Linked DNA regions of Neurospora crassa OR74A. The protein of the gene in region 1 interacts with the protein of each later gene in a pairwise test. Links are inferred from orthologs where the notes say so. Each region holds a gene or a part of one and is shown on either strand. Other genes may lie near its edges. The genes, in order: rpa-1 and NCU00133.

The links.
Region 2: the proteins of rpa-1 (region 1) and NCU00133 interact in binary tests that used the Saccharomyces cerevisiae proteins (3 or more experiments, as listed by UniProt). The link is inferred for Neurospora crassa OR74A from reciprocal best matches to the Saccharomyces cerevisiae genes RFA1 and POB3.

Annotation. Positions count from the first base shown.
Region 1 is NC_026505.1:1,820,816-1,828,646, forward strand, and holds rpa-1 (replication factor-A protein 1), read left to right. Parts: upstream 1-2,713; 5' UTR 2,714-2,950; coding exon 2,951-2,982; intron 2,983-3,043; coding exon 3,044-3,304; intron 3,305-3,365; coding exon 3,366-4,805; intron 4,806-4,866; coding exon 4,867-4,966; 3' UTR 4,967-5,393; downstream 5,394-7,831. Other genes in the region: NCU03605 (amidohydrolase), read right to left, coding at 700-1,142, 1,205-2,123; NCU03607 (threonine dehydratase catabolic), read left to right, coding at 5,959-6,295, 6,568-6,780, 6,943-7,559. UniProt on the Saccharomyces cerevisiae protein: As part of the replication protein A (RPA/RP-A), a single-stranded DNA-binding heterotrimeric complex, may play an essential role in DNA replication, recombination and repair.
Region 2 is NC_026503.1:2,734,123-2,742,045, forward strand, and holds NCU00133 (FACT complex subunit pob-3), read left to right. Parts: upstream 1-3,451; 5' UTR 3,452-3,698; coding exon 3,699-3,709; intron 3,710-3,865; coding exon 3,866-4,088; intron 4,089-4,144; coding exon 4,145-4,638; intron 4,639-4,696; coding exon 4,697-5,068; intron 5,069-5,125; coding exon 5,126-5,723; 3' UTR 5,724-5,987; downstream 5,988-7,923. Other genes in the region: NCU00132 (hypothetical protein), read right to left, coding at 1,404-1,984, 2,084-2,204; NCU00134 (exportin-T), read left to right, coding at 6,942-6,953, 7,115-7,923. UniProt on the Saccharomyces cerevisiae protein: Component of the FACT complex, a general chromatin factor that acts to reorganize nucleosomes. The FACT complex is involved in multiple processes that require DNA as a template such as mRNA elongation, DNA replication and DNA repair.

The DNA.
Region 1 (7,831 bases):
AAAAAAGGTGTAGGCTTGCGCCTGAGAGTCTAGCCTGTTGAACGCTTCATTGGACCACTTGACAACACGCCCCATTTCGAGGTGCTGAGAGATGGGGTGAAAGAGGTAGATGATCAACCCATGCCTGATGTTTGGAGGTAGTCTGCTTGGTTACCGAGCAACAGTCAGACGTTAAAGGGAAGGAGACATGAAGGTTAGCAATTGGCTTGGAGTCTCACGTCTCAAGCTGTAAGACACTCGACGTTAATCGCCGTGAATCTGTCCACGTTGGGCAGATCATCTTTCTGCTATATCAATTCGGTTGCATGAAATCAGCTGTCGTAATTTGAAGACACGCTCAGCTTTCCGACTTTCCTGCTGTATAGGGGAGCTTGGTATTCCCACATATGTATCTATGTAGAATGGCTCCCAATTCTGGGTCGTCAGAAGCGCTGAATTATGTTTAAGTTCGTCGTGATGCCAAAAGGTTGATCAAGCGCAAGAAGATTTGCGTCCGAACATGAATATATGTACAACATGTCCAAATCTCCAGAATAACCCTTTGTCCTGAGTTCTAAGCACCGCTTCTCTGAGAGGATAACGTTCCCCACATGCAAGTCATGAATTCGACATTGCCTTTCAAGCGTTGGGGTTTGACTAAGGAAGAAGCCAGCCTTCCTGTTTGTGGTGGTACTAATCTTAATATTCAGTGGTCCGCCGCTATTCGTCGCTTCTCGTCAAGTCTACGACTTTGTAGACCGGACGACTATCAAGTTTGTACGCTTCCCTCGCTGTTTCCGCCCAGAGCCTTGTCTGAGCCTCGGGTCCCAAGCCGGCCATATGGCACGTCATCTCCACCACTCTGCGCCACTTCTTCCAGGCTTCATCACCAAGGCCTAGAGTGCACACCGGCCAGTCGCTGCCAAACATGATGCGTTCGGGCCCAAAGGCGGCTATCACCACAGCAAGCCAGGGTAGGATAGCAGAGAGAATTTCCTCGGCCGGGCGAGCCCTCAAAAACTCGGGCATCTCGCTGAAGCAGCCGCTCAGTTTCATGTAGGTACGGTCGCACTTGCTGAGAGTAAACATGGCGGTGCGCCAGGCGATGTATGAGGGATCCGTTTGTACATTGACGATGGTTAGATCTGGCTTGCAAAGGTGGTCTGAGATGAGAACCATCAGTTAGCAAGCAAATCATGCAGAATGTGTCAAGGTAAAAACTTACTCAGGATAAATACCACTTTGTCCTCCTCGTCCACACCTTCGTGTGCACGGTCGATCATTTCTACCGCCTCCTCCAGTTGGATTCTCCCTCTTTTGTGCTGGTCAACACCCAGGTCAAAGACGAACTTCTTTCTGCCAAGCAGCTTCAGGCCCTCGATAAAATCGTCACTTAGGGCTGTTCCGTTGGGCTTATCTTGCAGCAAGTAGCGGAAACCCTTCACCTTGGCCCATGTTTCAGGCCCGGCTTCCTTTTCCGCAGCTGCGAGATACTTTTCCAACTCGGCAGAGCCCAATACAACCGGCGCCCACGGCACAATTCCGAGACAATCACGGCCATCGTCAGCCGTGTGGCCCTCGCCAGGCTTCGGTTGGCCGGTTACGATGCGGCGAAGCCATGCGATCTCTTGTAGGGGGTAAGTCCAATCCTTAGCATTGTCGTTCTTGCGGTCGACCTCAATTGCGACGTAGCCCTGAAGATTGCCAGGCGCACCGGTGGCGGTCTGGTATTCCTGGATGGAGTGCTGCTTGGCGAGAGGATTGTCTTCAGCGTACCACTGGTGGGATTCTACCTCGGACTGGGGATAGAGGTGCACATGGGTGTCGATGATGGGAACGGAAACGGCGGGAGATGATGCCATTTTGATCAGGCCGTTATCGAGCTCGAGTTTGGTAAAGCGACGGATATGTTTGGCAAGAAAGTAAGGTATCCAGTGATAGAGAAAGAGAAGGAGACAAGCGAAGCAAGCAAAGTCAGAGATGACAGGAAGTAGGAAGGTCAGGACGTCGAAGCGGTGTACCGTCCTGCAGGCAGACCAACGCTGAACACACAAAAGTAGAGGTATGGATGGGATGTAACTGAGGCAACGGGGGAACTTCCAATCGAGCCTTCTCCTTCTTATATTTTGTATTCGTTTTAGCATAGGCAGGCACGCGCTACAGTACGAGGAGAGTACCTCGATGGTCAGGAGGGGGTGGGAGATGGGATCGACACAGACAGCCAGGAACCACGACGAGGTGGGGTACGTTCGGCATGCAAAGGGCAGGCCCAAGACGGGACAATTCACACCGAAAGATTCAAAGATAGGGTTCCTGATCAAGAATGGTTACCTCCCGTCTTCGGTTTCCATTTCCTTGAGGAACCCAAGGTCCTTTTCCCTTTCGTCTTCCTACAGCACCGGAAGAAAGATACCCTTGTTATGTACAGTCATCACATGATTGTGCGAATATATTAGCAAAAAGGGTTCTATCTGCAAGACCTGACAGAGAAATCATGACATGTTCCAAAAGCTTAAGAAGTGAACGAGGCCAAGAGGGAAGTTGAGCCCCTGGAACTTGCTGAAGTTGAGCTCTCGGGTGGGGTTTGATGTGGAGATATGGGGTTGGCGGGCAACTGCCATGCTTGTCAGAAGCGCTTGGCAGCAACACTCCCCGGCAAACGCAAACTACACGCGCTATACAAACTGGGGCCCTCCGCACGGACCGTGGATGCCTAGCAATTAAACTCTTGCCCCTCCTCGACGCGCTGCCAAACGCGTCGCTGCTGCAGTCCATTGTTTGTGTGAAATTTCCCCTCCAGACCACCATCATCATCAGTCCAACACACTCGATCCATCCGTATCTTGTCGGATCTTTCTTGACTTCTGCGCCCCAATCCTTGCATCTTCGAACACGACTCACGCATAAATCAACCTCAAAAACAACATCGAGAACGTCTCCACGGGCTTGACGCCAACACTACCCAACCAACATGGCGGGTCAAATCACACAGGGCGCTCTGGAGTAGGTTTCTTCACGTGTGCTTCCATCCAGTAGTATGACAGACTCTGACTTCTTGCTATAGCGCCATGTTCAATGATCCCGATCGCGCACAACAACAGTTCCCTGTCCCCATCCTTCAATGTCTCCAGATCAAGACCCTCGACTCCAAGAATGGGGGCGCGGGCGCCACGGAGAGGTTCCGCATTGTGCTGAGCGACCTCAAGAACTATGTCCAATGTATGATGGCCACGCAAACAAACCATCTTGTTCACGATGGCCTCCTGCAACGCGGCTGCATCGTGCGCTTGAAGCAGTATCAAGCTCAATGTCTCAAGGGCAAAAAGTACGCCTATCTACCCCTCCGCCAATTCGGGAAATCCATAACACTGACTGTTTAAATCCAGCATCTTGATTGTCCTCGATCTCGAAGTTATCCAGTCCCTTGGCTGTCCCGAAAAGATGGGCGATCCACAGCCTCTTGGCCCCCGCAGTGCAGAACCACAGCAGAACCCCAATCTCGGCAGCACCGGCTTCTATGGCGTCAAGAGCGAACCTACCCAAGACACGAAACCACAGTTTCCACGCCAGATGCCCTCGCGTAATGCCAGCGGGGGTCAGGGATCAAGCACGATATATCCTATTGAAGGTCTCTCGCCCTTCTCGCACAAATGGACCATCAAGGCCAGAGTCACCTCCAAGTCCGATATCAAGACCTGGCACAAGGCTAGCGGCGAGGGCAAGCTCTTCAGCGTCAACTTTCTTGACGAGAGTGGCGAAATTAGAGCAACAGGATTCAACGACCAAGTCGACCAGTTCTATGATTTGCTACAGGAGGGTCAGGTTTACTACATTTCTACACCTTGCAGGGTACAGCTTGCCAAGAAGCAATGGTCGAATCTCCCCAATGACTACGAGCTCACCTTTGAGCGGGATACCGTGATCGAAAAGGCCGAAGACCAGACATCTGTACCACAGGTACGCTTCAACTTTGTCAACATCCAGGAGCTTCAGGATGTTGAGAGGGATGCGACTGTCGATATTATTGGTGTCCTCAAGGAGGTCCAAGAGGTGACCCAGATTGTATCCAAGACCACACAGAAGCCGTACGACAAGCGCGAGCTGACCCTTGTTGACAACACTGGGTACTCGGTACGTTGTACCATCTGGGGTAAGACGGCCACGAACTTTGATGCTCAGCCTGAATCCATTGTGGCCTTCAAGGGCACAAAGGTCAGCGATTTCGGTGGACGCAGCTTGTCCCTGCTTTCGTCTGGCACCATGGCCATCGATCCGGATATTCCAGAGGCCCATCATCTCAAGGGCTGGTATGATAGCAGCGGCAGGAACAACACCTTCGCCACCCACAACAACATGCAGACCTTGGGTGGTGCGACCGGTCGCAAGGACGACGCCAAGACCATCTCACAAGTAAAGGAAGAGAACCTTGGCACAAACGAGGCGCCGGATTACTTCGCTCTCAAGGCAACGGTTGTATTCATCAAGCAGGATAACTTTGCCTACCCTGGGTGCCGAAGCGAAGGCTGTAACAGGAAGGTCACAGATATGGGTGATGGTACCTGGCGCTGCGAGAAGTGCCAGATCAACCACGATAGACCTCAGTACCGTTACATTATGAGCGTCAACGTCAACGACCACACAGGTCAACTTTGGCTTAGCTGCTTCGACGATACGGCGCGGGTCATCATGGGCAAGTCGGCCGATGAACTTATGGAGATTCGAGAGACCGACGAGACGCGGTTGCCCGCCGAGTTTGAGCAGGCCAACTGCCGCAAGCTGAACTTTAGGTGCAGGGCGAAGATGGACACATTTGGTGAACAGCAGAGGTACGTATCGGGGGTTATTCTCACGATTAGATGGACGTTGCTGACACATTGCTTGTTGCAGGATTCGATACCAGGTCATGAGCGTGGCGCCCCTTGACTACAAGATGGAAGGAAACAAGCTTAACGAGCTCATCAATTCTTACAACCAAATGAGCATGTAAAGGGGAGGGTGGGGTTTGTTCACTTATGCGAGGAACTAGATGATGTATATGGTTAATGAACACGTGTTTGTATTTTCGGGCATGTGGTCTCAAGGATGAACGATATGGGCATCACTGGCCTATCGACTGAAAGATGATTTGCAGTTTCATGATGGACTGGGATGGTTAAGAGCTGTGATGGGCCGAACCCTAACAGAACTTTGTTGGCGTGGCAGCAAATTTCGGCATGATTGCAGACTTGAATAGGTCTCTCAAGCGTTATCTTGGAGTTGAGACACTAGGAGACCTTCCTGTTCGAGTTATCTTCGATAACATGCCGAGGTAAGTACACACGCTTCGTTGACTAGAAGAAAGCTCCAGAGCTGGTCAAGGTCGGATCAGGGCGGTCCTTGCAATGTAATACGCACCTTTCGGGCTCAATATCCACATGGCAATCCGATCATCTCATCCGTTATCGGCCTTCTTCACCCTCTCGTATTCTCAAACTCTTCTATGCTTCAGCTTTTTCACGCAAAGAACCCGTGGCACAGCCTTTCCTGGTCATCTTTCTTCACTTTCCAACTTCCGTTATGTGAATAGGCACCCCGGCTCCGGTCTCTATGCGGACTGTTTAGCTGCTCGATACCGTATCGGCACTTATCGATTACGCAGATGGATGACAGGAACCTAAACGCCGTATCTTCCTTATCGGCCGTCGTCGGGATCCCCTGCCGTGACTCCACATATCCGCCGTCCAGACCCGCCCCCGCTCCGTTCCCTCGGGCCCCCCACTTTCGATGTAGCGGGAAGCTGACACCGAGTTCTAGAACAAAAGACTATTGAAATCACGTTTGAACCGTATTCGTGTCAGCACTAAGACCAAGTTAAACCTTTATCTTTGCTCATACTTCTCTATCCCATTCAGTGTCTTCTTGTTGTCTACTTACACTCATCACCTTCCACCAACATCAACAACAAAGTGACAAGCTTCAACCTCTCAAACCTCCAACGAAATGGCCGACCCCAGCACCACCCCTCCCCTTACCCGTGCCTCCGTCCTCGCCGCTCACTCCCTCATAAAGCCCTACATTCACGAGACGCCCGTGCTTACGAATACCACTTTCGACCAACTCGCTTCCACCCCTCGTACTCCCGAAGAGCTGCAAGGAACGGAATGGGAGGCTACCGAAAGACCGGCGAACCCAAAGATTCGGTTCTGGTTCAAGTGCGAGAATTTCCAGCGGATTGGCGCGTTCAAGGCTAGAGGAGCGTTTCATGCTGTGGAGAGGTTGAAGCAAACTGAGGGGTTAGAGGGGTTGAAGAAGGGCGGAGTAGTGACGCATAGTTCTGGTTTGTGAATTTCCGCTTTTTTTTTTTTTTTTTTTTTTTTTTTTTTTTTTTTTTTTTTTTTTTTTTTTTTTTTTTTTTTCTTTTAATCTGGATATGATGAGGTGATATCAGTATTGAGAGAAATGAGATTGTGAAGATGTGAAGTTTTTTTGAAGGCTTTGAAATAGGTTGAGTTGTCTGAATTGTCTTCTGAGATGTGATGAGAGTTGTCGATGTGTTCAAGACGTAGTAGCTACGTGAAGACCCAAACTGACGTGACAACGAACTAAAAGGTAACCACGCCCAAGCCCTTTCCCTCGCTGCCCGCGAGAACGGCATCCCGGCGCACATCGTTATGCCTACCATCTCGCCTCCGCCCAAGATCGCTGCCACCAAGGGTTACGGCGCCAACATAACCTTTAGCGGAAGCACGAGTACCGAGCGTGAAGCAGTTACAAGGGAGGTGATTGAGAAGACGGGTGCGAGGCTGGTGCCGCCTTATGATCGTATGTCCCTTCTCCTTTTTTCTTCTCACGTGTCCTTTCTTTAGGAGTCTCTTCAGAGTGTCTTCAAACCCTCTCGAGGTCCTCTCGCCCACTTTCATCCTCCCGTCTCTTCACCCCAACACTGAACTGACCAACTAACATCCCCACCCCAACCCACACCAGACCCAGACATCATCCTCGGCCAAGGCACCGCCGCCCTAGAGCTCCAACGCCAAGTCGCCGCCTCTCTCTCCACCTCCGGCACCACCACCACCACCAACCGTCGTCGTCTTAACGCGATAATAACCCCCTGCGGCGGCGGTGGTCTCCTCTCCGGCACCGCTCTCGCCTGTTCCGACCTCTCCCCTTCCGATCCCTCCACACCCGGTCCAATCCTGGTCTTCGGCGCCGAACCCTCCTTCTCGGGCGCGGACGACGGTCGTCGGGGTTACTACTCGGGCACTCGCATCGAGAGCGTCAAATCCTTGACGATTGCCGATGGGCTGCGGACTCCTCTGGGGGCGTATCCGTGGAGTATCATCTATGAGCGGAAGCTGGTGGCGGGCATGTACAGTGTGGGCGAGGAAGAGATCAAGAAGGCGCTGAGGCTGGTTTATGAGAGGATGAAGGTTGTTGTTGAGCCGAGCGCGGTAGTGGGGTTGGCGGTAGCGTTATTTAATGAGGAGTTTAGGAGTATGGTGGAGAGGGAAGGGGGGGAGGAAGGGTGGGATTTGGGGGTGGTGTTTAGCGGAGGGAATGTTGAGCTGGCGGCGTTGGGGAGGTTGTTTGGTGAGGAATAGACCGGTCAAGGAGAGGAGCTTATATAAAGAGGAACTAGGAGTTGAAGTCAATGTCAGCTCGTCTGCTGTCCAAGAATCAGACCACTAATGCATAAACCAAGCCATTGAACAGAGAAAGAAAAAGAAAAGTTCATTGACCGACATGCCACCGGGCAGAGGCCCCCCATAAAGATAATTATATACAATCCGAACAAACCGAACCCAGAACAAACCAAATCGAAGAGACGTCGGAGAAAAGGCTTTTTAATATCCCCCATATTTCCCAGAGGTAT
Region 2 (7,923 bases), on another chromosome or scaffold:
CCTCTCTTGCTTTTACCCTCTTGTCGTTTGCCGGATAGTCGGGCCGCGTACCAGCATCCAGGGCAAAACCTCGGCAAAACCATTTCGGAAGCCTAGACTAGGAGTTGGCCGTAGCGCCGGTCGTTGTTACTAAAGAGTGATCAAAGAAAGAGCCCGGCAGGAATGAGATCCAATCCATTCAGCCGCCACGGGTTTTCAGCTCACCTCCAGCTGTAAATACAGTTTTACCCTGGCTGGCTGCAGGGCGGGCAAACGGCGCAAGGCAAGGCAAGGACAAGACAAGGCAGGGCATGGCAGGGTAGAACAGAGCCGCTTCAGTTGCTTCGACAGTCAAGTTTCAACTTCGACTTTATGTTTTATTTATTCGTGATGCTAGTTGCATCAGCACTTCCAACATTGGGATAGCCATGTAGCGACGGTCAATTTGCCAGTCCAAAGCAGCCCGAGCACTTTCTGGGGGCCTTAGATGCATCCTCAGCTTTGGCACAATAGTTTCTAGGTTGGCCAAGCCACTCGGATGATATTACGGATCATAGAACCGAGTCGGGTAATTCTCGGCCTCGCCAGCGACTGAAAACACAACATCGCCGCGCGGGGCCTGGTAAACTGGGCTCGGCTGGTAGACTTAAGGCCCGCCTTTCCATTGCGCTGCCCCCCTTTGCTTGCTCACGAGTTCACGACAATTCGCTCAACTCAGATATGTGGATGTGCATGTTCTGCTGCTTGCCGCCGTTGTTGATGAAGCTAGGCGAGACATCCGGTCGATGTCCACCTGAGCCGCTTGCGTACTTCTCGCTTCGACTAGTATGTAAGGAAACCCTCTTCCAAATGTACTACTTTCACTCCAAAGCTTCACGTTTTGTCTTTGTTGGTTTCCATCTCTTGGCTGCCCCTTAGGATTCCAATCGCACGTCTCGCTTTGCCCCAGCAGCGCATTTTCACGATTTTATTGCGAGTACATTCGTCGTGTGTTCCGTCGGGTTTGGGTATTTCACGACCTTAAGACTTCGTTGCTAGGTGTAGACACGTCCCGGAATCATTCGAAAACGATTGCGATAAGCTATCCTCTAGGGTTGAACTATCGTACTGCTACACTTGGTCATTGTATAGATGCTGAATGTTAGAAGTATGTCGGAGGTCCAAGGGTTTGGTGCATCGCCGAGTAGGAAACATGCGACCCAACAACACGAATCCAAGCCACTGTTGCCAATCTTTCCAATCCTGCCAAACGCCTTCACGATGCCTGTCCCTCAACGACCCTCTTATGATTCTGAAACGCCGAAAAGAATTGCCGCCAACCCAAGCGTTCTAATGCCCTTCTACAGTCCGAGGAGGCGCTTGGGCGTCTAGATGAACCATGGCAGGAAACGGAATCCCACTGCAGGCTCATTGCCTAATGTCCTTCATGGTAACGCCCGGGCTACGTCGTCTCGGTCACCAAGCTTCCGCTTGCTGTTTCTCGGGGAGCCGCTCGGGGAGCCGCTTTCACCCTCGGTCCATTCCATAACTTCCCATTCGACTTGAACTGTACCACTCGTATTCTGGCTGCGACCTTTGGCCGCGCGAAGAGTACCGAGTCGGCTGCCCTCAAGCAAGCTGTCCAGCCAGGGTAGGCCTCCCACAGTCTGTCGGCCGATATACGTTACTTCTCCCTTTCCTTCTTGCTTCTTCGTTTCAGGTTCATTCTCGCTTTCGGAATCCGGCAACATACCCAAGTCTTCCAGGTCCGCTAGATCTTCTGGATGCAGGCTGCCCAACGATAGCTGGATAAAATCAGCTTCGCTACGAGGTTCCTCGGACCAGTAAGACAAGGGGGTGCCGCAATAACCGCAAAAGTGGCGCATAGAATGCTGTTCAAAGGGCGAAGTGTAGGCGCGATGGATCATCGACGTCCTTTCGTCGGGAGAAAACGAGAGCGTCGAGCTATGGTACCATGGCAAAGGTACCCGCAGGAAAGCAGCCAATGGTGAGGCATGGGAGATATCTGCATTGGCAACATTTGGTCAGATGATCTATACTCCTAGCAAAATGGAGATAGTGATCGGAATTTCCTGAGAGTCAGTATCGCTGGACAGGTTCCTACATTGAGAAGGCGGTGGGTTGAAGATGACTTGCGCCGCCTGTGTAGTGGTTTGCGGAAACTGGATGATGTAACGATTGCGGCCGCATTGGCAGCCACCACGGAGGGGACGCTCGAAGCTCATCTTTGAAAAGGTGTAGAAACAACAAGGCAACAAGAGTGATTGATGGTGGAAAGATTGATTCAAGCTTCGTTGGGATCCTTGGGGGGCCAAGTAAGTGTGCAAGTCGGAAGTTCGGTATACTAATAGCTCCAGCTAAGGTTCAATTGAAGCAGGCAAACAAACGGCCCAGGCAACAAAGGAGAGCTTCGTTCTGTTTGAATAAAGAAACCGAGCGAAATATGACGATCAGGGCAGACGAGTGACGGAAGGAAGTCGAGGCGGGGCAGCTTGAGCGGGTGTGCGGGATGCCACCAGTTCAAGCATGTAATACGTCAATCGTGGGGTGGCGTATAAGTGCCCCTCGTGGTCTCCAGGTCAAGGCCGCAGGCAGGAACGTCTACGACGGGAATTGTCACCTTCGGTGAGCGAGTCTTCCGCCCTTGTGAAACAGCCAATGGGCACAACAAGAACGAACTAACTTGAGAGTTATGTTTGTGTTCAAGGGAAGAAAAAGAAAGAGATCAAGAAGTGGTACAAGGCAGAGAACATTACCACTTAAGGTGACTAAGTACCTCTAATACAATCCCATGTCATGAAACAGGCGCGGAAGATATCATATGCAACCACTTAAAGCTCCACGCGCTAGCCCCACATGCTTTTTGGGGGGTTGACGATATTGGGAATCGCGCCCATGTCCATGAACCGAAGCTATGTTGAGTTTGTTTAGTAGATTGAGAGTGGCAACCCAAGTGGCATATTTGGAACCAGTTGAAAGCTTCAAAATGCTCTGACCAAACAAGGAACGCTTGTCGCGAGGGGACACTTTTCCCACGTAACGAAGCGACTCGCTTGGAACGTCCTCTTTCCCTCCCGTGTTCAACGGGCCGAGCACTAGCGGAACGAATACAAGCAAGAAGGAGCGAGATACAAAGAATTCAAATGTGAAAAAACCACCCAACATAATTGTTGATCCGTAACTACAAGAGAATGGAAGGTGTTGTGTTACTGTAGATCGCGACAGATTGGAGGACAAGAGGACGCAGTTTCTTTTAGACATTCAAGATGATACAAACAGTGAATGACTCTCAGAGCGACAAGAAGGCCTGTGTGTCGTTGGCAAAGCTTCCTTGGAAGGTGACAACTGAATAAAGTGGTGGTGTTCTTGCAGGCTTGGGAGAGAAATCAGAAGCTCACAGTTGCCACGCGCTACAACCAAGCTGTTGCCCACTGCGTAGACCCTACACGTACAGTAGTACTGCGACTTGCCACCTGCCACCAGCATGGGTCGTCGCCTAGCCCAGCGGAATGCCACCTGCCAGCCGAATTAACCTTCAATTAACGAACTGGCCTAGTCGCGACACGGTCAACTTTCTCCGAGGCACGCGAACCTTCAGTTGGATTGTTCATCAGTATTTGCTTGCAACACTTTGCAATCACTGCCACAACATCAGACGCCATTTCCAACTTGTCCATCAACCCCAACTCACCATTAAACCAGTTGGATAGAGGGGCAATATGGCTGCCATGTAAGTCGCATACCTTTCTGGATTTCATGCTTTCGCGCGCTCTTGCTCGTCTAACCCTGCGACGACGGATGTGCCCCGCTCCATCTACGCCGTAGGGCACGGCTTTCACCGGCGGAGATCACAGCTCAGTGCCATTTCTAATACCTTCATTTACAGCGAGAGTTTTGACAATATCTACTTGGATCTGTCCAAGGAGAGCGGAAAGTCGAGATTCGCGGAAAATGGCTTGGGATGGAAACCTGCGGGTGGCGGCGAAGCGTTCACTCTCGACTCGAGCAACATCGGCGGTGCTCAATGGAGCAGGGCGGCGAGGGGCTATGAGGTTAAAATCCTATTGCGAAGCTCTGGCGTAGTTCAGCTCGATGGTTTCCACCAAGAAGTACGAAACCTATCCACGCGCCATCGAAGCGAAGGAACGCTGACGTGTTGCCACAGGATTACGAGCGCCTTAGCAAGATCTTCAAGAACTGGTACAGCGTGAACCTCGAGAACAAGGAACACTCTCTGAGAGGATGGAACTGGGGCAAGGCTGAGTTTAGCAAAGCCGAGCTCACTTTCAACGTCCAAAACCGACCGGCCTTTGAGATTCCTTACTCCGAGATTTCCAATACAAATCTTGCCGGAAGGAACGAAATCGCAGTCGAGTTCGCCGGCAACGATGGCGGCAAGTCGAACGGTCACAGCGGAACAGGCGGAAAGGGCAAGAAGGCGTCGGCCGGCAAGGATCAGCTGGTCGAGGTGCGCTTCTACATCCCTGGAACGACAACACGAAAGGAGGCCGAGGGTGGTGAGGCTGGTAGCGACGCCGATGAAGAAGAGAAGAACGCCGTGACTCTGTTCTACGACACCCTTATTGAGAAGGCCGAGATTGGTGAGACGGCGGGTGATACTATCGCTACATTCCTCGATGTGCTACATCTCACGCCCAGGTACGTGGAAACTGCACGCTGGTTGTTGATCCTTTTCCGGTGCTAACTCTCCCGATAGAGGACGTTTCGACATCGACATGTACGATGCCTCCTTCCGTCTCCGTGGCAAAACATACGACTACAAGATCCAATACGATGCTATCAAGAAATTTATGGTGCTTCCCAAGCCGGACGATCTCCATTTCTTGCTTTGCATTGGTCTCGACCCGCCCCTTCGTCAAGGTCAAACACGTTATCCATTTGTGGTGATGCAGTTCAAGGCGGACGAAGAGGTGACTCTTGACCTGAACATCACCGAGGAGGAACTCAACGGAAAATACAAGGACAAGCTTCAGAGCCACTACGAGCAACCACTTCATCAGGTTGTGGCGTACATTTTCAAGGGACTTGCGAACAAGAAAGTCACTACACCAGCCAAGGACTTTACAACGTGAGTTATATCTGTTCATTTCATAGCCAGCAACGGTACTGACCTAGGAACCCGCAGGCACCGTCAGCAGTACGGCATCAAGTGCTCTATCAAAGCCAGTGAAGGATTCCTCTACTGCTTGGAGAAGGCGTTTATGTTTGTCCCCAAGCCGGCCACGTACATCTCATACGAACAGACACAGTCCATCACGTTTTCACGCGTGGGCGGTGCGGTCTCGGCATTGTCGACGTTCGACATTACAGTCCACATGAAAAACGGCGCGGGCTCATCCCAATTCAGCAACATTAACCGTGAAGACTTGAAGGCTCTCGAGGAATTTTTCAAGCTCAAAGGACTGCGTGTCAAGAACGAAATTGATGATGACACCAACCTTATTGCCGCCGCCTTGGGCGATGACGACATGGCTAGCTCGGACGAAGAGGCCGTCGGCCCCAAGGCTGATCGTGGCTCCGCTGACGAGGATGAGGAGAGCGTGGATGAGGACTTCCAGGCTGAGTCCGAAAGCGACGTGGCGGAGGAATACGACAGCAACCATGAGAGTGATGGGTCGGGCAGCGAGGAGAGCGACGTCGACAATCGGGTCGATGATGAGGATGAGGATATGGATGATGACGAGGGAGAGAAGCGCCCCAAGAAGAAGAAGAAGACGGCTTAGGTTTATTTTTCATGTTGGCGCGTCGTTACTTGTTTGATTAAAAAGGCAGATCACAGGCTGGAAGGCAGGCAGGCAGCTGGGTATTTGGGGCGTTCCGGTACTTTCGTGACACGAATATGTGTTAATTCTGTATTTTCTCTACCATATATCGATACGATACTTGGGGCGTCAAAGACGACATTCCCAACGGCAGTGTCAAACTAGTATCTCGATGTTCCCTCAACTTGGGCGCGCAATGGAGCTAATGAACACTGAAGAGCGGCAGGCAGATGGTCAGCTACCTAGTTGATCCGTTATGGTTCTTTTTTTTCCCCTTCGACTACAACGAACATAAGACATCGGCACATCCTTTGAGACTTCGCTTCTTCTTCAGGGCCGCAGGATGGATAGAGGCCGTACTCCAAAAGTACGGCATGGAATGTATCAGCCTGCAGGGCGTGCAGGCGGTTGAGGTGGGTATCGCTCTAGCGGTCAAAAATCTACCTACCTGGTAGGTAGGTACCTACCTCTATGCGTTCCCGCTCTGTCTACACTACACTAGGATGCACATTCCTTCTAGTGTACATAGTGGTGCCCTGCGTGGCCCGGTGGGCACTTCGGTTGATGCGGAGCGGTCCCTGCTGAGTGCGCTTCGGCAGACTTCCATTCAGCTGGGCGGGCTTTAATTCGGCTCCAAAGTTAAGCCCCACCAAGGCGGTGGGTATGACCCATTTCCGCGTTCCTCCTCCTCCCTTTGTTTTCTGTCGACCAGTCCAGAAGCCATTGATTGGTGCCAATCATCAGCTCACGGCCTCTCCTTGGTGCTGTATCGGACAGCCACACCTGCACCGTGATAAATTTATTCTCACTCGTCCTGGTATTTTTTGAGACCTGATACCGCGCCCAAAGGAAGCATCTGCCTGTTTCGATCTTCACGTCCCGGAGCAGGGAAAAACAAAAGTACCCGATTAGCACCGCAAAGGAGATTTACAGTAATGGAAGCCAACTAAAAGGTTCCCGCCTTTGGAAACCATGTCTTTTTGGCGCTCCGCCTGCTATCTTTGAGAATGCCGACTCTTTCTTGACCATTGCTGCCCCGGGTTATTTTACAGCACTTTGACCAACAACTAAACCAGCAAACAGCAGCCAGACACAACCACCGCCGACGTACAAAACATACCACGAATCCTTTCAACCCGTTTTTCTCCCCCTCGAACTCTTCCTCCAAACAGCCATACCATGGACGCCCAGGTAAGGCTGCTTTTCCCCCAGCGTGAAAAAAATATCATCCCCGCAAACTCGCACCCGCCGACCCCGCCATATATCCGTCTGAATGGAGGGATCACAATGTACCTCTTCGGCACACGTCATTTCTCTCTGTCTTCTCGCGCTGACGGTCGTTTCTGCTACAGTTTGAAAAGGCGATTGAGATCGCCTTTGATCCTCGTTCCAGTCATGCCCTGAAGTCCCAGGCGCTCGAGTTCCTCAACCAAGTCAGGACCGACGTCCAAGCATGGCGTATCTGCGCCGCGCTCTTCACGCGAAGCCCCAGAGCATCCGACATCGTCCGCCATGTCTCCCTTGAAATGGTCAATAACGCCGTCCACTCTCAAGGGCTGGACGCCCCCGATCTCGCCTTTGTGAAAAATTCTCTACTCGACTATATCACACGCACATATGGTCCTAACGCTCAGGACCAAGCCGACCCTGCGAACGTTCAGAACAAGCTCACACAAACCCTCACGTATCTCTTTGTCGCTCTTTACGGCGAAGGCTGGGAAACTTTTTTCGACGACTTCCTCGCCTTGACCAGCTCCCAGAATGGTGCTTCAAGAGACAACCTCAGCGGCGTTATGCTGTACCTCCGCATACTAAGCTCCGTCCATGACGAAATCGCCGACCTCATGATCAGCCGCCAGGGAAACGAGTCGAAGAGGAACAACGATCTCAAAGATCTAATTCGAGAACGGCATATGCAGAAGATTGCCATGTCGTGGCAGGATATCCTCGCTCAGTGGACAAATAAGCATGATGGCGTGGTAGAGTTGACGCTTAAGGTGATTGGGAAATGGGTCAGCTGGATCGATATCTCCCTTGTCGTCAGTCAGGACATGCAGAACTTGATCTTGCCCTTGGTTGGCAGAGTTAACAACACGAGCAACAATATTGATACCGTGAGGGACACCGCCATCGATACGTTGACGGAGATTGTCGCCAAGAA